Saccharomyces cerevisiae S288C: one gene and its partners. The main gene of each other region encodes a partner of the protein of the gene in region 2 in a complex. Each region holds a gene or a part of one and is shown on either strand. Other genes may lie near its edges. The genes, in order: NUP42, SEH1, NUP49 and NUP159.

Region 1 (4,209 bases), on a different chromosome or scaffold from region 2:
ATCCAAGAATTGCCAACCTACAAAATTTCATGAAATGCTCAATGAGTTTGCTAGGGATGGCAGGCTATTGAGACTGTACACGCAGAATATTGACGGTTTAGATACACAATTACCTCATTTATCAACTAATGTGCCTCTGGCGAAGCCAATACCCAGTACAGTACAATTACACGGAAGCATAAAACACATGGAATGCAATAAATGTCTGAATATCAAACCTTTTGACCCTGAACTGTTCAAATGCGACGACAAATTTGATTCTCGGACTGAAATCATACCGTCATGTCCACAATGTGAAGAATATGAAACAGTTAGAAAAATGGCAGGCTTAAGATCTACTGGTGTGGGCAAGTTGCGTCCAAGAGTAATTTTATACAATGAGGTCCACCCTGAAGGTGATTTTATCGGTGAAATTGCCAATAATGACTTAAAGAAAAGAATTGATTGTTTGATTATTGTTGGAACGAGTTTGAAGATTCCCGGAGTGAAAAATATTTGCAGGCAGTTTGCGGCCAAAGTCCATGCAAACAGGGGTATTGTGTTATATTTAAACACCAGTATGCCGCCTAAGAATGTGCTAGACTCTTTGAAATTTGTAGACCTAGTTGTACTGGGAGATTGTCAGCATGTTACCTCATTATTATAGAAAGTATTTGTCCTACCAAAAAAGGTTGGAGATAAAATTAATGCATTTTTCATTAGATATATATATATATTCATATATATTGTTTAAGTTACCATTTTGTATGTTTTTCTTTGACCTTACTATGCAACCAATGCAGGTGGTGGAGGTATATCAGGGACAAGGCCTAGTTCAAACTTGTTTGCTCTGAATATTTTCAGTGTTTCCTCTGCGAGATCGGCCAATTCTAGAATACCGTCCTTTTCAGAAGATAACCCTTGAACAAATCTAATTTTTCCGGTGGCCGTATTAGCGTTGACATTAGTAGCATTCATCTGTTGTTGTCCAAATCCAAAAGAGGTTGCGTTACCATTGCTCTTCAAACTTATGTTCGGATCTGTGTTTGGCATTGTTTGCCCAAATGAAGGGTTCGATTGCGAGACTTTGTTGGCATCGTTTTGTGGTGTAATTCCGAATGAAAACCCTTTATTACCAAAAGAAGATTGAAAGTTGCCATTGGTATTTTTATTGAGGTTAGAAGCAGAACCAAAGGTGCCCCCAGAACCTCCGCTAAAAGGAGATTGATTATTCGTCGTTCCGAATGCGCTACTGCCCACGTTATTGTTGTTGTTAGCTTTGGAGGTTGTAGTACCAAACGGCGAAGAACCAGCGCCTGCTCCGCTCTGTAGATTACTAAAAGGTGATTTGTTATTACTATTAGTTCCAAATGTGCCAAATGGGGATACTCCTGTCCCACTGCTTGTACTTGTATTTTGAATAGTACCAAATGGCGACTGGGTATTAGTAGCTGCGCCGAAAGTCGGTTTGCCAAACGCTGACGATGTAGATGATGCATTTTGTGATGCGTTTTGTTGCAGTGAACCAAAAGGAGAAGTTGTGGTCAAGGGCGTGTTTGACGCAGCACCAAATGCGGAGTTATTACTATTACTAACCGAACTAGAAGGGATAGCAGTTTTGTTCGCTCCAAAAGCTGGTTGACCAAATGCAGAGCCCATTGAGCCAGGACTTTTACCAAAAGGATTACTTGTCGCCGCCATAGCACCAAAACCTGTTGATCCAAATGACGGTGCTCCAAATGCTGACGTAGTAGAAGGCGGATTAACATTGATGGGGGCGCTAGAACCAAATGCTGGTGCTCCAAATGCTGACGGTTTAGCCGCATTACTGGTGTTCCCAAAAGCGCTAATTGACGTATTGCCAGTATTGCCTGTATTGGTACCAAACTGGGGCATTCCAAATGCTGAAGTGGTGGTTCCTCCTGTCATTGTGTTTGCTGTTCCAAAACTAGGTCTTCCAAATGCACTTCCTCCCATGTTATTGGTACTAGCAGCATTATTTGTGAAAGGGTTGATACCACTTGTATTAGAAAGATTAGGCTTAGCACCCGACGTGAATGGGTTACCGAAAGCTGACATTACAGTTGAGTCGTTGCTCGGGTCGAAATTTAATGATAGCTTGATGAGCTTTTGCGTTAAAGTACAACAGTTCAGTGTTATAGTACTTTAAACATTGTGCGCTCATCTATTGATTCACTATTTTTTTTCAAATACCTTGCACCCTCAGTCGGCGTGTTTCTTGATATGCAGAATTAATATATTTCTAGATGTCAGTATATTAAGGTTAGCCCTTTGAAACGTATTATGATGTCGTTACCTTCAGCGTCGTGGTTTAGGTTTCATGTCTTGTCCTCTCGCGAATACTTTTATTTCGAAGCTAATTTACTATATAAAGAAGGTTGAAATCGCATGATAAGCTAAACAGCGTAAATAGAATTGCCGGAGCAAAATTCGTATAAGACATAATTTCCCTCCAGGCCGTAGCCAGATTAATGCTCAGTACACTGTAAAGAATTTTTTGTTTATTTTTAAGATAAGACAAGATGTCATTGATATTATTGCTAGATCACTAACAAATGGTATTTATTGATTTTTCTTTCGCAGAGCGGCACTTTAACTAGGATTTAATCATAAAAAAAAAAGTGATTGACACTGTTATTCAGTTCTGGACTATCGTATAGACTATTTTCATTGTTAATAGGCTCAGCTGTTCATAAAATATGTGAAAATTTTTCAACGATTACCAAGCCCACGATTGTCTCGTTGGCAATATTCAGAATGAAGTTTTCGTAATATGGCTATGTCCGTGATCAATCGCCTAAGACACCCTGACTTTTCAAGTAAATTCTCAAAAGCTTTCTTCCATCCGTTTAAATAAGAATTACAATGTTAGAATTACTTTTCCTTTGAGAGGAGGAAGAGCGAAAGTAAGAATGGAGGTACCGGTCGTAAATAAGCATTGACGAATAAATATACCAGTAGGATCTTCGTATAGTTATCATTTTAAGAGAATAGGAGAAGAAAAAAAATTTTTGTTTAATATTTATATACTAGGTATTTACACGTGAAAGTATTGAATCAAGATGGGGTCTAAAATACAGGCGTCTTAATAGAGGAATTGTTATTTAAAATACAACCCACATCTCTTGGTCCTCCTTTTTTATCTTTTCTAATATATGTTGCTGTTTCTACTGGAGTAATTATTTTTATCATTACTACGGGAGAATGAGCGTCTATTGTTGTTGCTGCGTCTAAACGGTTCGTCATCGTAATCTCTATTTTGGCTCCTATTATTATAGTTTTTGTTGCCTCTGAAAGAAATTTCTGAATCATCATCATAATCGTAGGACTTGTTATTTCCATCTCTACTACTATAGTCTCTAATTTCAAACATTGCCTTACCAATTGGACTACGGCTCAAACCTAATTTATCTAAAAACCTTCTGGATACTGGAATCTTTAATTGAGGATCATTTAACAGTACACCATAAGTGGAAGCAATTTCAGGAAGTATGCGCCTTTCAGAAAACCTGTATTCCTTGATACAGGATCTGTAGGATGAGATTAAACTTATTACAATATCTGATATGTCTTCCGGTTCTTCGGTCACTGCCTCTAGGACCTCAGATTTTATTTCTTCACTGGGCTCATATTTTTCTTGTTTGGCAATGACTATATTTTTTGCATCTTCCAACTCTCTAACAAATGGCAATTCATCTTTACAAATGAATAGCACAGAAGATCCTTCTTTCCCACTTCTGGCTGTTCTACCAATTCTATGAATATAATTAGCCAACTCAGATGGAACACCAATTTGCAAAACTTCGTGGACGTTTGGGAAATCCATACCACGGGCTCCCACATCCGTACAAACCAAAATACCGGATTCATCTTTTTTGAATCTTTTAACTAAACTTGTTCTTTTATTTTGAGTAATTTTACCATGAAATTCCAAAATTGGTAAATCTTTCTTAAATTCATTCTTTAAAATACTGCACAAAAAGGATGTGAATTTAACAGTTGGTGCAAAAATAATGGCTTTGTAATTAGAATCTCTTTCCTTTATTTGTTTCTTTATATGCTCCACAGCAGCAAATATACTATTGGCAAACTTTTCTGAAATGACGACAGACTGATCAATTCTTTCATGTGCTTCAGGTTCATTCTTATCTACTGTGTCTAAAAAGAGACATTCTTTTTTATTCATGATATTGTTTGCCAACTTTTGTA
Region 2 (3,881 bases):
TTCTGTCATCTGACTCTTTTACATATCTTTCTAAATCGACAGATCTAAACAGCAACGGATTCCTCGCATCTACAATTTGAACAACTAAATCTGATCTTTCAACAACTCTCCATAACTGTTTCCAAACTTCGATATTTCTTTCAAACGGTGTTAACAACAAGTCTTCATTGCTTTCTTGTAAATGTGCCAATTTTCTTCTCCATTCTAAAAACGCTTCCTTTTCTTGCCTATCAAGCTGAAACTTGGACATGCCCTCGTTCCATTCAGGCCTCCTTGGAACAATCAAATCCTTAGCAAGCGCTCTTTGCTTCGCATTAAGATTTCCACGCTGCTCATTAGTCATAGAAAACCCTTGAGATGTCGCAGAATCATTACCGCTATCCATTCTAATAATTTTAACATTTGAATGTCTATCGGCCGTGAAATCTTTGTCTGCCAGTGCAGCTGTACTCAAGAATTCATCTAAAGCTGATTCTTGAGTTACAGATCTTAATTTAACCCAGTTGGCCTCATGCTTATCGGTAGTGAACCTCATTTCACCATCAGGTAAATACTCGATGGCATTTTCTTTTTGACGTGCATATTTAATAGCTCTGCCTAATTCAAGCTTATTTTTATTTTTACGGTGGGTAGGTTTTGGCCCTTTTGGCGCCTTCCATTTCTTGGGAGCTTCTTTTGGTGGCATAGTTGGTGGGGGTCCTCAATATCAGATTTAGTTTTGTGTTTAAAAGAAGTTGGCTTATAAGCTCATCACCTCTTTATTAAGTAGTAGAATGCATTTTCATTGACAAATTTTTTAATCTCGGCATTGAAAAATTTCCAGGCGAAAAGGCGAGGGAAGGGAAGCTTGATATAATTCGAAAGAATACCCAATATCAAGAATAATAATATCATTTGATGTAATATCATTATATTTGTAAGAGCTTTTTAAAAGCATCATCTTTCTTGATTCATCTGTTGCCTCGTATTATACAGAATAATGCACACGTATAAAGTACCAATATATAATGTTATGTATACATATATTCTTATTTATTGTTGGGCAGTAATTACTGACATACACTTAAATTCATTTGAATAAGTGGCTTTCCATAAACGTACCTTCCCATCATCCCCAGCACTGCTTAAGATTGTACCCGTTAAATTCCAAGACACGGACCAAACTTCGCCATTATGGTCATCATGCTCGCTTAGAAGTTCAACTTGCAAGTTTGATTGTAGCTCAGCTTTCTCTTCGGTATTTGAGTCTGATCTGCCCTGTGCATCCATGTCAACATCAGCACTATTATCAAACATATTTGAGTTAGTTAAAGACTCCTCTGAGGCCAGGGGACTTAGTTTTTCTGTGATTTTGAAAATTCTAATTCTACCATCTTTGCAACCTGTTGCAATGAGTTGATACCATCTACCAATGGAAGGAGCCCAGCTGATACTTCTTATTAAACTTTTATGACCGGGAAGTTTTGCTGCAACGTGAAGTTTACCGTCTTTACCCCTTTGGTATATAATCGCTTGTTCCAATGCAGAGACTGCGAGCTTTTCAGGAGAAAATCTCGAAGGACACCAAGAGAGACAAAAATCAGACTGTAAATGATTTGCTGGTGGTATAGATAGCACTTTCATCTCAGAAGTCAGTGTCCATGACCTTAGGTCAGAAGGTTCTAAGGCATCATAAAGTCTGAGGATTCCATCGTTACCCAAACAAGCTAATTTTAAGCCCAAATGCGCTGGCGCAAATTTTACACTATAAAGTGATCCTTTGGAATCATTCAGGGTACACAGCTTGTTCCAACGACGGCCAGAGCATTCTTCTTGGTCGGGATCTTCTTCCCATAATTTTACCGTCTTATCGTAAGAGGCTGAAGCAATGATGCGCCCATATTCTGGACTGGCCCAATCAATGGCCACGATACTACTGTCGTGAGCTCTCCATGAGTCACTGAGTTCCCAATTACTCGTGTCCTTGTCTAATTTAAAAACTTTAATATGTTGATCAGAAGAGCATGTTGCCACATGTCTTCCGTAAAAGTCATAAACGACATCATGAACTAAATCATCATGCCCACTATCAAATGGTTGCATATTCAGAAATATTATTGGGTCGTTCTTCTTCTTCCTTAGTATCTCTTCAGAAGGGAAACCTTGTTTATAATTTGGTTTACTTGTCTCTATTCAGTTCATGATTTTTTCCATCGTTTTGCCGAAGACTTAACTAACAATAAATAAGAGAAACAGATATATTAAAACTTGGTTGATAATGCAGCACGCACATTCAATCGCGAATAATATACAAAAGATTATTTCTAAAGTTACATATAATGCACACCGGGTGCTGGAAGTATAATACATGCAAAATAAAATGGGCACTATCTCGTTGAAAAGCATCAAGATGTTATTATAAATGATACGCACCACCAGGTGAAGGTTTGAGAAAAGAAAAAAAAGCACTAACTTTTCTTTCAAAAGGCCACATTATTACTCCTTCAAACTGTCGAAAAAGGCTTGTCGATCTTCCAGTAAAGATTGTGTCCATTTTTTAACTTCATCAGTTTTTATATCATTGATGGCTCCCAAAAATTGTTTCAAATCCTTCTTGCCATTATACTTTTGTTCGTACTCAAAACATTGAACCAACATTTCATACTTATCAATATCTTTGACATATCTTCCTTCCAAACAGGTCTGCTTTTCGTATGCTAACCAGTCATCAAGAATTTCCCTAGATGCGCTTTCACTGCAGGGCCTTATTATGCTTTCACAGAGATACTTGACAGTTTCAAATTCTCTGCGATGTTTCTCTTCCTTTGTCATTGGGTCATTAGGTGTAATATCACCAACTAATGACTCCGCAAAATCGTGAACAAGTGCGATTCTGATACATTTGTTACGATCAACATTCTTGTCCGTAATCAGCATGGTAGTTAAACCCATTCTGTACATATGGTCAGATATACTTTCGCATGGGTCAATACCATGGTCAACCCAACCAGTTCTTCTTTGCGTTTTCAAAAGTTGTATAATATTCAAAAACGCTAACTGATAATTTGGGTGAGGTTTCGAAAGAATTGCCAAAATCTCCCTAGGTATATTATCTTCTGGCTTCCAGATGTTAACTGCAGTCATTTTGTTTTTCCTGGTCTTTACCTCGAATAGGTTTTCTTGTTTTGTTATTTGTTTTCTTTTTGGACCCTATGTTTATATATGGATTTTGAAAATCTTTTAAAAAAGCGATAAAAGCGTTGGGATCTGCCACTGGTAACTTCAAAATAGACAAGACGAAAAAACGGTGAAAATGGGTGATAGAAATAATACAGAAGTAGATGTTGAATTAGATTAAACTGAAGATATATAATTTATTGGAAAATACATAGAGTTTTTGTTGATGCGCTTAAGCGATCAATTCAACAACACCACCAGCAGCTCTGATTTTTTCTTCAGCCAACTTGGAGACGAATCTAGCTTTGACGATAACTGGAACATTTGGAATTCTACCCTTACCCAAGATCTTACCGTAACCGGCTGCCAAAGTGTCAATAACTGGAGCAGTTTCCTTAGAAGCAGATTTCAAGTATTGGTCTCTCTTGTCTTCTGGGATCAATGTCCACAATTTGTCCAAGTTCAAGACTGGCTTCCAGAAATGAGCTTGTTGCTTGTGGAAGTATCTCATACCAACCTTACCGAAATAACCTGGATGGTATTTATCCATGTTAATTCTGTGGTGATGTTGACCACCGGCCATACCTCTACCACCGGGGTGCTTTCTGTGCTTACCGATACGACCTTTACCGGCTGTACAAAAAAAATATTGTAATGAAATACAATTTTTAAATCGTTAGTAAAACAGGTTTTCAACTGGACATTTTATCGAAACAAAAGAAACG
Region 3 (4,537 bases), 130 kb from region 2:
TTATCAGCTTCATCAAATATCAAATGCTTAACTTTGGAGAGATCGAGAGCTTCGTTTTTCACAACATCGATTAGTCTTAATGGGGTAGAAATGATTATATCATATTTCTTATCACTAACTACCTTGTTTTTCAATTTAGCGCCTAAAGATTTAGATAAGAGTGCAACTTGCAGAGGCCTTTTTTTCTCCAAAAATATCTTGTAAGATAGCTTAAAACATTCAATAAAAATTTGGTTCGCTAATTCCTTTGTAGGCGAAATGATTAACCCTTTCAACCCTGCAGTTTGCTTGTCATCAATAATCTGCTGAACCAGCGGAATTAAGAATGCTAACGTCTTACCAGACCCTGTGGGACCACATGCCAAAACGTCTCTATTATTCAAAGCAACAGGAATACATTCACATTGAATTGGGGTAGGCTCAGTAAACCCGTTTTCAATCAAGTTATTCAGTAAACGCTTATCGAATGAAAACCTTGAAATTAAATCTTCAAACGAACCTATTGGAAGTGGTATATCTATACCCGACACGTTTCCCTTATATGATTTTCTCAACGCGGATGCCTCAACGGTATTGGTAATCACTGGTTTTATCAGACCATCATCATTGCCGCTCTTCTCCTCTTTGTTTGGAGAATCGTTTTCGGTTGTCTTCTCTCTATCATCCTCTACCTTGCTAATGATTCTCTTGTTTCGAAAGAAATCAAGTTCTTTCACGATCTGGCTTTCATTATTATCTTCCTTATGATTCTCATCATTTCCATTTATAACGCTGTAATCTGCTGCCTTAGCCTTTGGGCCTGACTCTTTCTTCACGGAAGCTCCTCTAGTTAATACTCTAAAAATATCCATGGTGGCTTGCCTGTTCGATAACTTCTACTATCGTATGTACCTTTTTGCAGGTAATATCTCTCAATTGAAGATGTCAATATTACTTTTTTTCCTTCCCATCTCATCGCAAAAAATTTTTCACGAAGAAAAGTTAGTTCGGCCTCTAAGACGCCATTATGGTGACTGAAAAACTGTGATTGATGTTATATTCTATTGCATTTAGTATAAATTACATTTGTACAAGACATTTGTACTTGTTATACGCACTATATAAACTTTCAGGGCGATTTACTCATATGCTCAATGATGCCAGTGTTTTCGTTTTTTGATGTAACACGGCGATTCTCTCAGCGATATCCATAAACAGTGTGAATTCCTCAATGACAGTAGAGACTATGGCAGCTAAGCCTGTCTTCAACTGCAGTAGGTTCTCTGCTTCGGATGAACCTAGATCTGCTGTGATAGCTGTAGAATTAGGGTTATTTGGGGCGCCAAATAAATCTGTATCAATGCCATTTACCGCAGTTTCTATATCAGAGAGAATACGGCAGTAATCCTCTAACTTCTTCTCGTAGAGATGAATTTTCTTTTGAAAGAATTTGTCTAAGTCATTAGAAGAAATTTTGCTTCCCGGAGTTAATAGTTGCTGTAAGAGCACCGAAAAAGTTTGCGTGTCTAGAAGGTCCTCATCGATTAGCGATTTAAATGAGGATATTTTCTTCAAATCTTGCTTTAAATATTGACTTGTTGCAGATTCTGACTTCAGTAGGTATGCAACATCACGAGGAATGGAATCTATCAATTCATCATGATCGATTGTATCGGCCTTCAAATGGTGCGAGATCTGCACTTGTTTTTGAATATATTGATCTAGTTGTTCAATTTCTTGACGTATTTGAGGTGGTAATTCGGAAATCCGTGTCATTGGGGTAATAGGGAGCTGAGATAGATTTTGCAATGCGCACTGCATTTGTGGTTGTTGCTGCAGTTGCTGCTGCTGATTACCAAATAGCCCGCCTGACGCACTCATGATGTTGTTACTATTATTGTTATTGTTGTTGTTATTTGATGAACCAAACAAAGACGTTGCTCCTGTCGGTTTGGAGCCAAATAACCCTCCACCAGTGGTCGTATTACCTGCATTATTGCCGAATAGAGATGTACCAGCTGGTTTTGCACCAAACATGCCCTGGTTCTGCGCAGGGGCCGAAGAGGTGCTTGTATTACCGAACAAAGAAGTGCCTCCTGCAGGTTTAGAGCCAAATAGTCCAGCGCTTGCATTATTCATGCCACTACTACTATTATTGATATTATTAGTGTTATTATTACCAAACAAACCACGACTCGTCTGTGCATTGTTGGAACCAAACAAACTGCCAGAATTACTGTTCGAATTAGCGCCAAATAACCCGCCCCCAGTGTTCGCCGTATTGTTAGGTTTGTTACCGAAAAGGCCCCCTCCGGTGGTGGCGCTTCCTCCAAATGCATTTGTCTGAGATTGTTGTTGCTGCTGACCAAATGATGCACCTAATCCTCCTGTAGATCCGGCTGGTTTAGCGCCAAATAGTCCACCTGTACTTGGGCCGGTGTTTTGTCCAGTTTGAGTCCCACCAAACGAAAACCCAGTATTCGCGTTTCCAGTGCTAGCTCCGCTGGCCTGACCAAAGAGCCCACCTGCAGGTGTCGAAGATGCTTTATTTAATCCAAACATTGTGCCCACTACCCGTGAAAACCCTCTCAATTACTGTTTTTATCGTCTCATCACCTGATCAGTAACTATTCTCACGATTAATGGTCTTTTTCAACTACATTTATTTGAGAAAGCTGTAATACATTCCGTGTTGAGTGATATATACAACCTCCTTTGCTCGTCTTTTCGCCACCGCAGAGCAAGTAACAACAGAGACAAACAAGAAGAGGTTAGAAAGCAATTTAAGGAGTAGTTTAACGAGTACTGAAAACGTCAAACTAAGTACTTACGACTTCCAATTACCGGTTGTAAAGTTTATCTACGCAAATATAACAGTTGCAGCTTGCTTTTTTTTTCAGCAGCTCTTCCGTTATTATAAAATCTGTTTGGCGTTCGCACAAGCGAACCGATTCTTTTATTATTTTCTCTCTGCCTTTTATTTCCGTTCCTGTTAATAGTTTATTTTCTAAAGGATACTGTCTTCTTCCGTACTTATAATCGGGTTCACAATAAGCAATTGACTAATCCTAGGACGATTCGTGTACTATAAGGAGAAAAAAAATCAACACTTGTAACAACAGCAGCAACAAATATATATCAGTACGGTATGGGTATTCCAAAATTTTTCAGGTACATCTCAGAAAGATGGCCCATGATTTTACAGCTTATTGAGGGAACACAGATTCCTGAGTTTGATAACTTATACCTGGATATGAATTCGATTTTACATAATTGTACGCATGGTAACGACGATGATGTAACCAAGCGATTAACTGAAGAAGAGGTTTTTGCAAAAATCTGTACGTATATCGATCACCTTTTTCAAACAATCAAGCCCAAGAAGATTTTCTACATGGCTATTGATGGTGTGGCCCCTCGTGCCAAGATGAATCAACAAAGAGCTCGTAGATTCAGAACCGCTATGGATGCAGAAAAAGCCTTGAAGAAGGCTATTGAGAATGGTGACGAGATTCCTAAGGGTGAGCCATTTGATTCGAATTCTATTACTCCAGGTACGGAGTTTATGGCCAAATTGACCAAAAACTTACAATATTTTATTCACGACAAGATTTCTAACGATTCCAAATGGAGGGAAGTGCAAATCATATTTTCTGGCCATGAAGTTCCAGGTGAAGGTGAACACAAGATCATGAACTTTATAAGGCATTTAAAATCCCAAAAGGATTTCAACCAGAATACGAGACATTGTATTTACGGTCTTGACGCAGATTTGATTATGCTGGGTTTGTCTACTCATGGGCCACATTTTGCGTTATTGAGAGAAGAAGTGACATTTGGTAGAAGAAATAGTGAAAAAAAATCGCTTGAACATCAAAATTTCTACTTATTACATCTTTCTTTATTAAGAGAATACATGGAGTTGGAATTCAAAGAAATTGCCGATGAAATGCAATTTGAATACAATTTTGAACGTATTTTGGATGATTTTATTCTTGTCATGTTCGTCATTGGTAATGATTTCTTGCCCAATTTGCCAGATTTGCACCTTAACAAAGGAGCATTTCCCGTTTTGTTACAAACGTTCAAAGAAGCTCTTTTACATACTGATGGCTACATTAATGAACATGGTAAAATAAATTTAAAGAGATTAGGTGTCTGGTTAAATTATCTGTCTCAATTTGAGTTATTAAATTTCGAAAAGGATGATATAGACGTTGAGTGGTTCAACAAGCAATTAGAGAATATTTCTTTGGAGGGTGAAAGGAAAAGACAGAGGGTTGGTAAAAAATTACTGGTAAAACAACAGAAGAAATTAATTGGAAGTATAAAACCATGGTTGATGGAGCAATTACAGGAAAAATTATCGCCTGATTTACCAGATGAAGAAATTCCAACTTTAGAGTTACCTAAGGACTTAGACATGAAAGATCATTTAGAATTTTTAAAAGAATTCGCTTTTGATTTGGGTCTTTTTATAACGCATTCCAAATCCAAAGGTAGTTATTCGCTAAAAATGGATCTTGATTCTATTAATCCTGATGAAACAGAAGAAGAA
Region 4 (7,287 bases), on a different chromosome or scaffold from region 2:
ACAGAATTGGGACAATGGGTTAGTCGTTGTTGATGAAGCTTACGTAGATTTTTGTGGTGGCTCTACAGCTCCACTAGTCACCAAGTATCCTAACTTGGTTACTTTGCAAACTCTATCCAAGTCATTCGGTTTAGCCGGGATTAGGTTGGGTATGACATATGCAACAGCAGAGTTGGCCAGAATTTTAAATGCAATGAAGGCGCCTTATAATATTTCCTCCCTAGCCTCTGAATATGCACTAAAAGCTGTTCAAGACAGTAATCTAAAGAAGATGGAAGCCACTTCGAAAATAATCAATGAAGAGAAAATGCGCCTCTTAAAGGAATTAACTGCTTTGGATTACGTTGATGACCAATATGTTGGTGGATTAGATGCTAATTTTCTTTTAATACGGATCAACGGGGGTGACAATGTCTTGGCAAAGAAGTTATATTACCAATTGGCTACTCAATCTGGGGTTGTCGTCAGATTTAGAGGTAACGAATTAGGCTGTTCCGGATGTTTGAGAATTACCGTTGGAACCCATGAGGAGAACACACATTTGATAAAGTACTTCAAGGAGACGTTATATAAGCTGGCCAATGAATAAATAGATTAATTTAAACAGTATATGTACAGTTTTATATATATATATATATATATATACATATATAAAGAAACCTGTGCGTTTTTTGTATTTTCAAATACATTTAGTTTTGGCGCCACTTCTATAAAAGGTCTCATGATATTGTTACAATATCAATTTTTCTTCGTTTCTCATGCCCTGTTTCTATGATAGAGGATGAATTTATTATTAACGGCACTAACAACGTACATATAGCTAAATATCACTATTTTGCCATGTTCAAATTTTTGAAGAAATCACCAATTTGCTTTTTCGTATTCATGGCCAACCCAACTTCTACTACTTTAAATCCTTTCATGTCCTTTGTTATTGAAGAGGATGCATCGAACGACGAAGCCTTTTTACCTTTCTCCTCCAATTGTAACCTACTCACTTGCTCACGCAATAATTTGATTTCTTTTAGTAAACCGTCACGTGCAAGAGATTCTTTAGCTAGTTTTGCCACTAATGGATTATCGTCCAATCTCTTATTCTTTACAGTGAACAATTTTAAAATGTTCAGCAACTCTTCAGTATGATTAATTTTGGCGGACACATCGAATAGCTTTTGACGTAATGTCTTTTGCATTCTAAATTGATGCGTGCTGAGATCTTTAACGTATCCACTCGAAGCATCATCAAAATGCATTAAAAACAGATACTCCTCTTTTGCATTGGCTACATCTTCAGTTATTTGTGCAATATCTTTCCTGACATAATCTGTAACTTTTTCCTTCAGGTCTTGAATGTTAGCATTTGTTATTTGCATTTGTTCACACTTGATATTATTCTGAATATTTAATAGAATTTCAGCCTCTGGTATTCTCCAAGTATACAGATTATTGATAGACCGCACTGTACGCTTCACCAAAGGGATGCTCGATTGATCAGTAAAAAAAGTATCCATATTCCGGATGTTTTCCATCAGAACAGTAAACTCAGCTTCGACCGTCTGAAATGTACTCTCAATCAACCTTAACGTAGAATTTTGTGAAACGAAAGGAATATTTGATACTTTTGCACTTGTGTAATATTCTTTCAATTGCTTTGGTTTGCATTGCTCTGCTAAATAATTTTCGTCACCTTCAAATGTTTGAACAGAAAAATTACATGTTTCAACAGGCTCAGTTTGCAGACCATTGTCGACTGCTTCCTTCTTAACAGTTTGTGTACTGTTGTGTTTCACGGGTATGGCATCCGTTTGAACTTCATTTTCCTTGGAACTTTCTGAAAGGTCTGTCTGTATGCCAGATTCAGCATAATTGTCTTCTAATGAAGTTTGTACATCAAAATCAGCGGAAGCGCTCACTTCACGTGCTTTAAAAGCTTCTCCACCATGAGGTAGCTCATCAGTATTAATATCTTCCAGTTTATCGTAGGACTCAGATATACTTTCATCCCGGTCACTGTTGAGTGACATGTTATCATCTGATTCTTTAACTTCACTGCTTTGTCTACTGTCTTTTTCGCTCGCGTCCTCTTCTGAAGATTGGTGGTCTTCGAATTGCTTTATTGCCATATTTGAATCAAAATTCTCTTTTTCATTGTCTTTTTTCAATGCTATTCCATCTCCTTGGACACCATGATTTGGTTGACCGCTCCTTTCATTATTCTTCGAAGTTTCATTCATTTCTTTAGACTTGTTATCGTGATCAACCACAGCATGTTGACTATATTTTGGGTCTGTTTCGCTTTTTTCATGATTGTTCACGTCCTGTGACTTTGGAATTTCTTCGTTTGCTGTGGTATCAAAAGCACTTTCAGAAGTCCTTACAGATATTTCACTTCCTGATACATAACCATCTTTTGGGTCATCGTTATGATCCTTTTTAGAACTTTCTCCAGTTCTTTCTTCTTTCGCTGGTAGAAACGGATTCTCCACACTCTTCAAGGTTATGGGGCCCTTTTCACTAGTTTCTTTAGTATCAGCTTCTTCCATTGGTGAAACCGTAGATGTATTACTTTTATTCATTGTGGAGTTACCAAACGAAAAAGCAGGTGTTGTAGAGCTTGGTTTGGTAATATTTGTTGCAAATGCTGAAAACGGCGATTCGGATTTTGCTTTGACATGATTTCCAAATACAGGATTTTTTAAACCAGCCATGTCAATATTGGCACTTTTTTTTATAGTTTCAGTTAGCTTGCCTATGGGGGATTTTTGCGCTTCCTCCTCGACAACTTCACCATCTTCATCCGAGGGAGTTTCCGGTAATCTAGTAGAAGATGTTTGCTCAACCGTAGAATCTGTCAAATCATTACCGCTTACGTTGGGACCATTGCTTTCGTGTTCTTCATTATCGTCATTGATTTCACTGGTAGAGCCCTTACTTAAAGATCCATTTTCAGTATCATCTTTTGTGAAGGAACTGAATGGTGATTTGTTTCCTAACTGTGAAGAGAAAGGTGAAGCCTGAGTACCGAATTTAAAAGTTGTATCGGAACCAACAGATTCCAGAGCCTTTGAAAATCCAGATCCAAAGGAAGAACTCCCAAAATCAAAGGCATTGGTCTTTGGTTTCGTAGAGGTGTTAGGTTTCGTACCAAAAGGTGTCGAAGAAGAGTCTACATCACTCTTAGACTCATCTTCACTTTGATCGCCAGAAGATGGGAAAGGTGACGTTGAATCTACCTCCTTTGGGCTGTCAACTGTAGGTTTTGAAATAGTAAAGTTTGATCCGAAAAGTTCATTGTTGGCGGGTGCAAAAGATGATGAACCAAATGCAGCCTTTCCAAATATGGATCCAGAGTTAGTTTCGTTACTTGATGCAGTTCCGAATGCAGATGTACCAAAAGAGGGCTTACCAAAGGCAGATCCGGAAGCAGGCGGCTCAGCAGATGAATTTCCAGAGCCAAAGGAAGGAGTACCAAAAGAGGGCTTACCAAATGCAGATCCGGAGGCAGGCGGCTCAACAGATGAATTTCCAGAGCCAAAGGAAGGAGTACCAAAAGAGGGCTTACCAAAGGCAGATCCGGAGGCAGGCGATTCAACAGATGACTTTCCAGAGCCAAAGGAGGGAGCACCAAAAGATGGCTTGCCAAAGGCATATTCTGATGTTGACGGTTCTTTGGCAATAGCTCCGAACGCGGGTTTGCCGAATACTGGCTTAGCAGAAGCAGGATCTGTTGCGTCTTGTTCACTGGACGCTACACCAGTACTGGTAGATGAGACTGATGGCAAGTCAATTTTAAATGCGGATGATCCAAATGAGGGAGCACCAAAGGTTGAAGAACTTTGAGACTGCAGGCTATTGGCAGCGGCTGGTTGTGTTTTAAGAAAAGTGAAGCCTGATGTATTTGCTGATGTGAAAGGATTCTCTGATAAAGCCTTACTTGATTCATTATTTTTCTTTTTTTCTTCCTGCTCCTGTCCAGCAATAGGAATTTTTTCTGATGTAGGAGAGAGAGATTTCTCATGTTCTAAAGATTCCAGATTTATGCTATAATGGCCGCTTTTGATTGCTGCCACATGAAACAACCCGACTATCTGTAAGCTACCTTCGTTATTCAATATGTAAACGAGCGGCAATCGCTCTATCGTATCAACACCGGAACAAGGTTCTAGAATAGTGCCTGAAGTAACGACGTCAACTGCCACACCTATTGGATTTGTGTCCTTATCTGTTTCCTCACTGATGGGCAATACTGCTCGTTCAGAATCCTGGGAAGGTTCAATAACTTGTTTCGAGTCCCATATACTTACTTCACTTGAACATGATGATGCTAGCACATTTACGTTTGCATCAGGTTCAATTAAACCAGACAAGGTAACTTTGTACATATATGGGAACCTTACTATTTGCCCGAATGGAGGTGTAATATCAAAAGTTTCTTGAAATGAGGCGCTGCCGTCTATGTGCTTTATAATGTACATTTTTTGATCGTATGAAACTTCGTCATCGGTCTCTGATATAACATTACCGAAAACCGCCAAAAAATCCTGTGGAGAGAGAATGGTAACACTCAAAGGGGAATATTCTTCTACTGGAAGCTCTTCTAATTCTGACGGTAGAGAGAACTCAAATTGTTTTTCCATTTCGCCATTTCGCCATGCAAAACTTTGAAAACTTCTATCTTTTAGTAGAACTGCTAACTGCGAATTTGTGACATCAAAAGAGGTAACGTTTTGTGCCAGTTGCTTAGTCGATTTTGTTCTTAAATCCAGTGCTGATAAATCATTGACTGAATTTAAAATTACTAAAGTGTTATTAACGTTCTTCAATTGGAAAACTGGCTTCTCAAAAGAAGTGACCGTTCGAAATTCACTCAATTCCTCCAAGTCTAACGAATATAATGCATTTCTGGTTGAAACCAAAACCTGATCACCATGAAAGCACACAAATATTACATCTGGGATTTCTTTCTCCCACTTGAACGTTAACGGAGTAGAGTCGGAGGTGATATGATCTCTCAGTAATTGTAATTCGCCGACCACCGCCTTACTACCAGAGGCAGCAACGAATAAAGACTTACTGTTTGAAATATCGAGATTTTGTAGAGATGCAAATGGCAGTTTTTCATTGAAGGAAGGTAGAATTTGTTTTTGACCTAAAAACTTAAAACCGAAGTCTTCGGAAGTCTCAGTGGGTACTTCATCCTTCAAAGAAGACATGTTATAATGGTTCTGTAATCAATATATATATATTTATGTGCGTTTCTCTGCTAAAATTGCAATAATGAAATTAAACCTTCACGCAAAATCGTTATTGAAGTTGGAGAGGAGACAAATTAACCTGAGAAATATGAATTGGTGTGAAGCAGCGTATGTGTGACAGAACAAACAAGCCTAAACGCCGATGTCAAACACAATTTTTTCTCCAGTTTATGCGTGCAACTATCCTTCGGTCCTTTGTCTTTTTTTCTCTTTTGATCAAACAATTGAAAAAACACTGGTCGTAGGTCACGATAAAAGTTGCGATGTCCCCTCCCACCTAGTTTCCTAAATACTATTATATAATATTAACTAAACAAACGTCAGAAAAAAAAAAAACTCTATCAAAAGTACAAATCCTTATTTAGTAAAATTTATAAGAAAATAAAATCTCTCAGGGCGAGAACGATAGAGACCAGCCAAATTTGTGGACTGGTTCAGTCAGTTGTAGCGCATTGAAAGACATACCCACACCCAAAGAAATATCTTTATTCAAATTTCGCTTGTACGACAATGTAGTCAGGCCTGAATCTGCAATTTTTGCCTTAACTTGCGAAATAGAATCTGGTACGTATCTGGTAACAAATTCAATGTTCATATTAGAACTTGTCTTCGATTGTAAAGTGGCTTTAGTTCCCACTTGCAAATAGCGGTTAACGTTTTGAAAAAATGAAGCAGTTGCGCATTGCCTGTTGTTAGTAGACAAAATAAACGAATATTCTCTGGCAAGATACCCGATTGACATAGCATAGCGTGCACATAAACCCGCAGCTGTGTCATATGCGATGTCAGTGCCGCCAACAAACCCGCGGTGGCCCAAAGTAACACTTCCGACAAAGTCCTTAGGTTGCAAGATGTCTATAGAAGTTCTTGCTGCAAACGATTTTTGGGCGTAGCTCAAATTAAATTTGGCGTTCTTGATGGATTGGGGAGTCAAAAATGCGTTGACATCACCTTTCCAACCAGGTGCTATCTTGGAAAATTCGATTCTTGTATTTAACCTGTTCTGGTTCGACCAACTCTGAGATAGCGACACTCCCTCCTTCCTGTCATAAAACCGTCCTTCTACGCTAGTTTGGATGGGGCCTTCTGTCACGCCCTGCTTCGCCTTCAGAGTAAAATTCACACCATTTTCCGTGGTTGTTGAAATATTCAAAGAGAGGGGGTTGGTGTGAAAAAAGTCCCTATTGAATAGGCCATTGACATCTCTAGATATATCGTTGAAAAATCGTAGTGCCATCGTAGGTAATTTCTAACACTTTCCTCTTCATGCAATTCCTTCACTCGAGAATAAAACAGAAGAGCTCCATCTTCACTATTCTTTCTTTTCTTTTTGTTCCATTTCTGCAATTGGAAGCGAGAAAAAAGGAAAGGAATTGCTAAAGGCGCTTTCAATCATGTAAGACAAATTAGTATTTGGTTAAAAAATGCAGAAGCTCAGTCGCAGCATAGAAAAAGAACTAAACTTTTAAATGCTGAAAACTACGAACAGATTTTGCAGTGTGTCATTTCTGCGGAATCCGTTATTCGTCTCATTTGCTAGGCAGGGCGCACACTATTGGAATAGGAGATATCTTCCAGATAGAAAAGGGTTTTTGCGTCGTACGGCGCGGCCTTGGCAACTCCCCTTCTGGAACAGGCAACTTCCTAATTAGGTTGCCGCAGCGAATAACTTTAATCAGTTCTTATCCCCTTTATGGTATACTGGGTGATATAAAAGAACGAGTAAGACAAGATCAGCAACAAAGTTGAAGATAATCTATTATCTAAAATAACACATACGGCTGCGCACTTGTAGCCATAATCTCGCATGAACATATACACATCACCCACGCGAACACCGAACATCGCACCAAAGAGTGGCCAAAGACCATCTCTTCCTATGCTGGCCACAGATGAGAGGTCTACGGACAAAGAAAGCCCGAATGAAGACCGTGAATTCGTGCCTTGTTCGAGTTTGGACGTGCGCAGAATCTACCCAAAAGGCCCATTACTTGTTCTCCCGGAAAAGATCTACCTTTATTCAGAGCCCACG

The links.
Region 1: SEH1 (region 2) and NUP42 share a complex: the UniProt entries of both Saccharomyces cerevisiae proteins name them as parts of the nuclear pore complex.
Region 3: SEH1 (region 2) and NUP49 share a complex: the UniProt entries of both Saccharomyces cerevisiae proteins name them as parts of the nuclear pore complex.
Region 4: SEH1 (region 2) and NUP159 share a complex: the UniProt entries of both Saccharomyces cerevisiae proteins name them as parts of the nuclear pore complex.

Annotation. Positions count from the first base shown.
Region 1 is NC_001136.10:842,804-847,012, forward strand, and holds NUP42 (FG-nucleoporin NUP42), read right to left. Parts: upstream 2,059-4,209; coding exon 766-2,058; downstream 1-765. Other genes in the region: NAD-dependent histone deacetylase HST4, read left to right, coding at 1-646; MSS116 (ATP-dependent RNA helicase), read right to left, coding at 3,149-4,209. UniProt on the Saccharomyces cerevisiae protein: Functions as a component of the nuclear pore complex (NPC).
Region 2 is NC_001139.9:311,435-315,315, reverse strand, and holds SEH1 (Seh1p), read right to left. Parts: upstream 2,083-3,881; coding exon 1,033-2,082; downstream 1-1,032. Other genes in the region: ribosome biogenesis GTPase LSG1, read right to left, coding at 1-685; YGK1 (5'-deoxynucleotidase), read right to left, coding at 2,476-3,123; 60S ribosomal protein uL15 RPL28, read right to left, coding at 3,389-3,789. UniProt on the Saccharomyces cerevisiae protein: Functions as a component of the nuclear pore complex (NPC).
Region 3 is NC_001139.9:178,704-183,240, reverse strand, and holds NUP49 (FG-nucleoporin NUP49), read right to left. Parts: upstream 2,542-4,537; coding exon 1,123-2,541; downstream 1-1,122. Other genes in the region: RNA-dependent ATPase ROK1, read right to left, coding at 1-851; chromatin-binding exonuclease XRN1, read left to right, coding at 3,128-4,537. UniProt on the Saccharomyces cerevisiae protein: Functions as a component of the nuclear pore complex (NPC).
Region 4 is NC_001141.2:143,497-150,783, forward strand, and holds NUP159 (FG-nucleoporin NUP159), read right to left. Parts: upstream 5,214-7,287; coding exon 831-5,213; downstream 1-830. Other genes in the region: HIS5 (histidinol-phosphate transaminase), read left to right, coding at 1-589; putative porin POR2, read right to left, coding at 5,647-6,492; mitogen-activated protein kinase tyrosine protein phosphatase SDP1, read left to right, coding at 7,063-7,287. UniProt on the Saccharomyces cerevisiae protein: Functions as a component of the nuclear pore complex (NPC).